Ovis aries: one gene and its partner. The main gene of each other region encodes a partner of the protein of the gene in region 2 in a complex. Links are inferred from orthologs where the notes say so. Each region holds a gene or a part of one and is shown on either strand. Other genes may lie near its edges.

The links.
Region 1: MKS1 (region 2) and TMEM216 share a complex: the UniProt entries of both Homo sapiens proteins name them as parts of the tectonic-like complex. The link is inferred for Ovis aries from reciprocal best matches to the Homo sapiens genes MKS1 and TMEM216.

What each region holds. Positions count from the first base shown.
Region 1 is NC_056074.1:36,445,087-36,449,165, reverse strand, and holds the start of TMEM216 (transmembrane protein 216), read right to left. Parts: upstream 2,912-4,079; 5' UTR 2,884-2,911; coding exon 2,847-2,883; exon of another isoform or gene 2,833-2,846; intron 2,260-2,832; coding exon 2,158-2,259; intron 2,051-2,157; exon of another isoform or gene 2,032-2,050; intron 2,025-2,031; exon of another isoform or gene 1,863-2,024; intron 1,857-1,862; exon of another isoform or gene 1,721-1,856; intron 1,599-1,720; coding exon 1,506-1,598; intron 1-1,505. UniProt on the Homo sapiens protein: Part of the tectonic-like complex which is required for tissue-specific ciliogenesis and may regulate ciliary membrane composition.
Region 2 is NC_056064.1:8,832,973-8,836,601, forward strand, and holds part of MKS1 (tectonic-like complex member MKS1), read right to left. Parts: intron 3,559-3,629; coding exon 3,516-3,558; intron 3,259-3,515; coding exon 3,193-3,258; intron 1,403-3,192; coding exon 1,332-1,402; intron 987-1,331; coding exon 917-986; intron 822-916; coding exon 714-821; intron 48-713; coding exon 1-47. UniProt on the Homo sapiens protein: Component of the tectonic-like complex, a complex localized at the transition zone of primary cilia and acting as a barrier that prevents diffusion of transmembrane proteins between the cilia and plasma membranes.

The DNA of each region.
Region 1 (4,079 bases), on a different chromosome or scaffold from region 2:
CAGGGAGCATGGGTCCAATCCCTGGTTAGGGAACTAAGAACCCAGGTGCCCCATGGAATGGCCAAAAAAAAGAAAAATATATAGAAAATCATTTTAGAAAATACAGAAATTAAAAGACCTCATGATTCACCCTCTAGAGAAAGCCATTATTACAGAATGAGGCATACTGTTTCAGACATTTTTTATGTGTATAGTCACGTGTTATTATTTTCATTATTGTAAAAGTAGAATCATACTCTGCATACCGTTTGGCAACTTATTTAACCATTTAACATGGTTAGACGTCTTTCCACATTAACTACCTTTTACTCTATCGTAACTCTTTCCACACCTAACTACCTTTTTTAATGGCTATGAACAATTCATTGAACCAATATCATAATTTAACTAGTCCTGTATTGATAGGTGTTAGGTTGTTTCTAAGGTTTTGATGTCAAAAAATACATGGCAATACATCCTCATACAGATATACTTGTGTATCTGTAGAAGTGTGTTTTTTTCAGCCAGTTTTAGAAGGGAAATTGTTAATGTCTAAGAATATACATTTTACCTGGTAAAACCATTAGCAAAAAAGGTTATACTAATTTCTATTCCCAGGGGTGTGGGAATATAAATACTCACATGAGTGTGAGACCATACATACTGTTTCTTGCGGTTATTTGAATACGGGGCATTTGGGAATCTTTTTAATCCGATGGGTGAATATGTTACCGTGTTTTTCCAGTTTGCTTTTTGTTCGTGAGTTTGAGCATTTTATCATGGTTACTGGTCCTTTGTAATTATTCTTATGTGAACTGCCCATTAGGGTCGCTTGCTAATTTTTTTTTTTTTCGCTGTGCAGCATGCAGAATCTTAGTTCCCCAACCACAGATCAAACCCCTACCCCCTGAGTTGGAAGCTTGAAATCTTAACCACTGGACAGCCAGGGAATTCCCTCCCTTGCTCATTTTTAAAACTAGCTTTTTTCTTAGCATTTTATGTGAGCTTTCTTTATCCACTGTGATATGTACTTAAAGTATGTTTTTTTTCTTCAGTGTGTTTAAAGAACATTTTCAGGGATGACATATTCTAACTAAAAAGGGCTTGCTCTGTACTTCCAGGAATACAAAACTTGTCCTAGAGAAATCCTTGTTCAGAAAAATGAAGGGGATCTTAGTGCTGACCTGTGCAGGCATCTCCTGCCCCAGACATGGAGTTACAGCTGAATCTATTCTCCCAAGCAAACCAGTGAGAGGAACAAGGCACTCTTGTAACAGTTAGACAACTGGGAAGAAATTGTCTAATATCATGCCACTGCCCACTTCTGGCCCTGCCGGGCAACAGACAGATACATCTTGACCCAAAATATGAAGCAGCTTGAAACTTCAGAGAGGGAGTAATGGGATATACCACCAGATCCAATCTCTTGATTGGTGAGCCTAGGTTATGTACTTTTCCTTGTTGATCAGGTTACGGATACCAGCTCATCTCAGAAAGAATGGAAATATTCTTGGACAAACACTCACCAAAAAATAGTCGGATTATTTCAATTCCGAGATACAGGAAGAGCATCGCCACATCCAGGACTAGATTGGCTGTTGGGTACGGGAGCAGGAGACCTGCCAACACAGAAGTCAGAGCCTGAAAACAACACAGAGCAGTGCGCAGGAGAGCCCCACACGCGCGAGTCTCATCAGCTGTCCATGAGCTACTTAGTGAGGTGTGGGCAGCATCTGTTAACCTGATGCAGGATGTGTTAACTCCTTGTTGTGGCTGCATCTCTTTTAGAGGCAGGCATGTTGTTATCGGGTTTTACTCATAACTCGGACAGTCTATGAGGACTCCACCCTCCACCATTATCAGCTGTACATGGGTACACAGACCGCTGAATAGCTTCCGAGGCTCATCAACAGGCTGAAAGTGGAGTTCAGCAAGAGGTGATGGGGGAGAGTTGGAATGAAGAATCCCACATTTCCCAAACTCAACAAACTCTTGCCCAGGAGCTTCCTACTAAATCATTCTCAAGAAGTCAGCTGATGAAGAGACTTCTACCTTACAGTGAAGAGGTTCCCTAGAGGGCAGAAAAGAATGAAAAATAGGAAGGTTTTTGGTGGGAGTTGGCTCTGCCCTGAAGTGGGGAAGGGATGTGGGCAAGGGTAGTCAATCCCCAGGCCTTACCTTTATACAGAAATATGAAGAGTTCCAGCAGGAAATAGGTAGCATAATACCACCCATTCAGAAAGAAAAGAATTTCCAGCGGGGTGGAGGACAATCGTTTACCTGAAAATGTGAGCACAGAGAAAAAGAGATGGGCTGGAGGGCAGCTCAACCTCAGTTATTTCAATGGTTTTGTGTCTAACGAAGGAAAAGTGAGGTCGCAGCTAATGGAAAGGGCTACTTGGGGCACTTCTGATTGCTGATGAGGAGAGAGAAAAAGAGAGAGAGTGTGTGTGTAGGGTGTCTGTGTGTGTAGGGTTTCTCTCTGTGTGTAGAGTGTCCCCTAAACTTGACTCCGGGCTTCGGGCGCGAAAGTCAAAGCCCCTTTAAGATCTAACCTCGTCACTATTTGGGAAGGGAAAATGGGGTGCAGAGGCCAGCACTGGCTTGTTTGAAGTCACACTGCAAATTTGTAACTGAGCTGGCCTAGAACAGACCTGGCCAAGAATTTGAGGGAATCTAAGACCCGCACCTCGAGACCTTCAGGAACTCAGGGAGGGTGAAGCTGCTAGACCCTGCTTTGGACAAGCGAGAAGTGATGTCCATAACACCCGAGAATAGAGGGTTTATAAAAGTCGAGCAATGGGAGAGAAAGGAATGGAATATAGAAGCGATCAGGACCAGCGACTCACACACCTCCGTAATCTCACCTCGCGGCGCCATCTCCAGTCCCCATGGAAACTGCATACGCGGCTACCTCTACTTCTGGAGCAACGAGGCGTTGCCGGAAGCGGGGGACAGAGCGGCCCGAGACTCTGGCCTCTCTGCCCGCCCATCACACTCTATGGTTGCCTGGTGCGAAGGCCGTCTTGGTGCGTCCGCCGGTGCGCGCAAATGGCCTTCACTGGGGTTCTGTCTGGAGACCTTCGACAGCACAGGGGCCACCCCCCGAGCTGGAGTCCGTAGGCCCCTAGGGCTGGGAGCAGCTGTTGGGCTTCCCCACCCAAAGTTTACAATGAATCTGCAGAAGTAGCCAGTAGTGGTAATGTGACCACAGGATTGCCAAATAGGCTGTAGCGCCACGATTCTCTTCACTAACGGTCTGACAATACACGAAAAAAGAACAGTGAAAGTGTAGTCGCTCAGTCGTGTCCGACTCTTTGTGATCCTATCGACTGCATATAGCTGCCAAGCTCCTCAGTCCATGGGATTTTCCAGGCAAGAATACTGGAGTGGATTGCCATTTCCTTCTCCAGGGGATCTTCAGGACCCAGGGATCGAACTCAGACCTCCGGCATTGAGGGCAGGCTCTTTATCATCTGAGCCACGAGGGAATCCCAAACAACGGTCTGATAATGCACAAAAGTGCTCTGCAAATGCGGTTTGGCGTTTGGGGTCTTTTGTCTAGCAAGCAGTCTTTTCTGGGAGGGTAATAGGGGATTTAGTGCGTCCGATTTATCAAACAGGTACTTAGAAGACACCAGAATTAATCAGAACTAGAGGCTCCTTTGGCAACCCACTCCAGTATTCTTGCCTGGGAAATCTCATGGACAGAGGAGCCTGGCGGGCTAGACAACCCTGGGATTGCAGAGACTTCACTGAGCGACTGAGCAGGCAGGCAGAGGATCCTCTCGAGGAGCATAAAGAAGACCGGGAAGATGAAACATGATCACCACGTGACCCCTGACTTGCATGGGAGTTGGGAAGACAAAGTACTCTAGGTGGGAACTGAGAGAAGTTTTCAAGAGATGACTGGTGAACTGGGCTTTGAAACCTGATTATGGTTTGGAGCAGTTAGCATGTGTTACGGCCCACAGGGAAGCAGAAAGAAGAGTTTTGATTGGACTGAGGCTGACTTGACTGTCAGCCACTGTCAGGATAGGACAGAAAACATGGCACACTCAAACCAGGTAATTTGAGTAGAGTGACTCAAGTGTACAATT
Region 2 (3,629 bases):
GCTGAGCTCCAGGGGCCTCCAGGTGGAGACCGTCAGGGTGTGAGAGCCTGGGCAGAAGAGGAAGCAGCCAAGGCTGGAAAGGGCCTGCGGTCCCTCACAGACTCCCCAGCAGTGACACCGGCCTTGCCACCACTAAAACACCTGGTCTGGGGACAGCCTGACCTCTGGTGAAGGTCACCACGGAGGTTTAGGGGACCTACGTGGGAATCAATCAGACAGAAGCTCAGATCTTAGCTCTGCCAGTTACTACCTGGGCGCTGGCGCAAGTTTCTCAGCCTCTCTGAGCCCTACTCTCCTCGTCTAATAAAACGGAAATAATACCAACACCTATGCCTCAAAGAGTGGTGGGAAGAATTAAACGAGAAGCACTCAGCACACTGCCTGGCACACAAGAGAAAATAGTGGCTATTATTTCTAAAGGAACGGTGGTCCACTCAGTACATGTCTGCTCAGAGCCCATCTTGACACAGGCTGCTCCCCCAAGGCTGCAGGTCAAATCAGAGGAGCGGGAATCAGAGTCCAAGGCTGCTCAGCTGTCTCTAGCAGAGACAGAAAATGCCCTCAAAAGGAGCACAGAATCTTGCAAGTTAAGTGCTTCTAGTTCCCAGTCATCCCTGCTTCTCCCAGGAAGTGGTCGAGTCCTCTGAAGCATCAGCCTTGCATCTAGGAGCGGGGGCAGGAGGGCTGCATGCAGGGCAGGGCCGAGAGGTCACCTGGGGTGGCGGGCAGCACCACAGCCCCGTAGCCTTCCACGCGGTACCGCTGCCAGAAGTCCAGCGAGAGGACCTCGCAGTAGAGCACGGGCCACTCTAGGAGCGCATCTGCGGAGGGGAGAAGCAGCAAGGTCCCGGGAGGCCCCCACAGGAGAGGGCGCGTCTGAGGAGCCCCAAGGCCGAGGACCGGCCGGCCCACTCACCGACAGATTCGTCCTCGTGGAGGAAGGAGGCCTCGAATGTGAAAGGGTAGGAGAAGCAGGCCACGTTATCCTAAAAAGGAGGGCTATTGTTTTGTACTCGGTGCCACAGAGTGGCAAGGCCTCACTTGGCACTCATTTTTCCTGTGGCCAGTGACAAGGTCACGGTCCCAAAGGAAAAGGAAAAACTATCACTCCACACAGGAAATAAGAGGCTAAGAGGGGAAGGGACACCCAGACGCAAGCTGCTGCCATTCACAAAAAGGCAGAGAACCGTGGGGCCAGGCGGCCCTGCAGGGCCCATAGCAAAGCGCCAGACCCAGCTCTGGAGTCCTCCCCGTGCTGTCAGCCCGATCATCTTTGGATGTCATGCCAGGAGCAGCCGTGTTCCCTCCAGGTGCCCCTCTTGTTGCCATACCATCCCCCGGGACTTGGTGGCACAGGTCTGTGTTATTCCTGAGAGCTGCTGGAACGCTGGGCTTGACCAGTCTAAAAGCCAAAGACGACACAGAGTAAGTCGACCTGGGAGGAAGGCGAGCAGCTGAGAGAAACACAAAGCTCCTTTCTGCATTCAGTCACTCAGGCGCGTGACCAATCACTCACGCCACGTTCACTGGGCCCATTGTGTGCTATGACTGGCCCCTGGGGACACTGCAGTGACCGGACAGAAAAGCTTCCTGTCTCTCAGGGGGCTAACCTTCCAGCTGGCGGTGGGAGGGGGCACAGAAAGCCAACCAACAACGGACCATCAGGGAGTGATAAAAGCTAAATATAGAACAGTGTGAAGAGATTGAGAGGCCTGGAGGCCCATTTAGGGATGCTGAGGGACCCTCGGAGGTGGCACTTAGGCTGAGACCTAAACTGAAGCAGAACCAGTCATGCAAAGATAGGATTCAAGAGGTTTCGGACAGAGGAAATGGTCCTGAAAAGGCCCTAAACTGGGAATGACCTTGGCCTGTTGAGGAACAGGAAGCATGACTGGAGTGGTATAAGGGAGAGACAGGCTGGGGCCAGCTCTTTCAGGGAATGGGGTCTGGACTTTGCTCAAAGTGGGAAGGGAAGCTGTGGGGGCTTTAAGTTGAAGAGAGACACAGCTGGTTTACATTTTGAAGGCTCAGTTAAGCTGTGGTGTGTGTGGCAAATGAAACATAAGAGGGGGCTTCCCTGGTGGCTCAGTGATAAAGAATCCACCTGCCAATGCAGGAGACACAGGTTCGGTCCCTGGTCCAGGAAGATTCCCACAAGCCGAGGAGAAACTAAGCCCGTGCACCAGAACTAGGGAGCCTGTGCTCCAGAGCCCGGGAGCCGCGGCTGCTGAAGCCTCAGTGCCCGAGGGCCCGTGCTCTGCAACAGGAGAAGCCACTGCCGTGAGAAGCCCGAGCACCTCAACTAGAGAGGAGACCCTGCAGCAGTGAAGACCCAGCACAGCTAAAAATACACAAATAAATACGAATTACTTAAGCAAAGAAAAGAAGCATAAGAGCAAGACAGGAAGCAAGAGGAGAAACTGCAAACCATGCTTTGGCCTAAGTAAGAGATGATGGTGGTTTGGTCCAGGGTCCTGAAGAAAACAGGTAATTCGGGACATCTTTGGGAGGCAGACCTGACAGGAATTGCTGATGGCATGAATGGTGGTAGGGAGCTAGAGGAAGTGGGCAATCAAGGATGTCTCTTATATTCCTGGTATTAGAAACCCAGGAGATGACGCTGTGGTTCTGCTAAGATGGAGAAGACCGTGATGGCAGGTCTGCAGCAAGAGGAGGAATCAAGGATGCTTTCGGTCATGTTAAGCAGAAAGAACAAACAGGTAAGTGGGCGTGAGTCTGGAATTCAGGGAGAGGCTAAGACTAGACTCGTCTGGGCGTCTGAGACACACACATAGTACTGAAGCCACAGGAAGGATGAGGCCACCTAGAAAGACTGTGGAGAGACGGTAACAGAAGGCCAGGCCCGGCCTTGGATGTTCTAATAGTTTTAGGTCAACAGCAGATAAGGAAATAGCCAAGGAGGCTGCTGAGCCACCACCAAGAGAGCAGAGAGGAGCACGGAGCCCGAAGGCAAGAGGAGAGGGGCAGCGAGGAAAGTGAGCTGTAGCAACTGGGAGACCAAGGAGGGCGAAGGCAGACACGTCCCCACAGGATTCCACATCTTGGAAGTGACCTGTGACCTTGAAAAGAACGGTTACAATTTCAGTGGAGGAGTGGGGAAGGAAACCTGACTGAATGCTTCTGGAAAACTGTCAGAAGGGGTAAAAAGAGAGACTTGTGAATACTACTTACTAGAAGTTGGCAATTCCACAAAGAAGTGGACGTAGAGGTTATCATACTCATAGCCTTGGGCTGAAACTAAGAAAACAAGAAACGGTTTCAGTTTATTGCCCTATCACCCCTAACGCCTGACCCAGTCCTGCAGGACCTACCCACTTGTGGAAGCAAGGCTCCCAACGGCCGGGAACTCTGTGTTTCCAGGAAAGACTCACACCTGAGTCTCCCGAGCACTGTGGACAACCCAAGGCCACTGCTGGGGTGGGGAGGACTATTTCACACTGCTCTCCCTGGCACTTGCCAAGCCTCAGGGGACCCCTGTCTGGTGAGACACTTACCCACCTCTCCATTCACAAACAGCCGGAGGGCACCTGGTACAGTCTGGGGTAGAGAGAAGTGGGGACCAGTCAGGAGGCCTGAGGGAAGCGACGCCTCTCCTCCAGCCTGTTCGT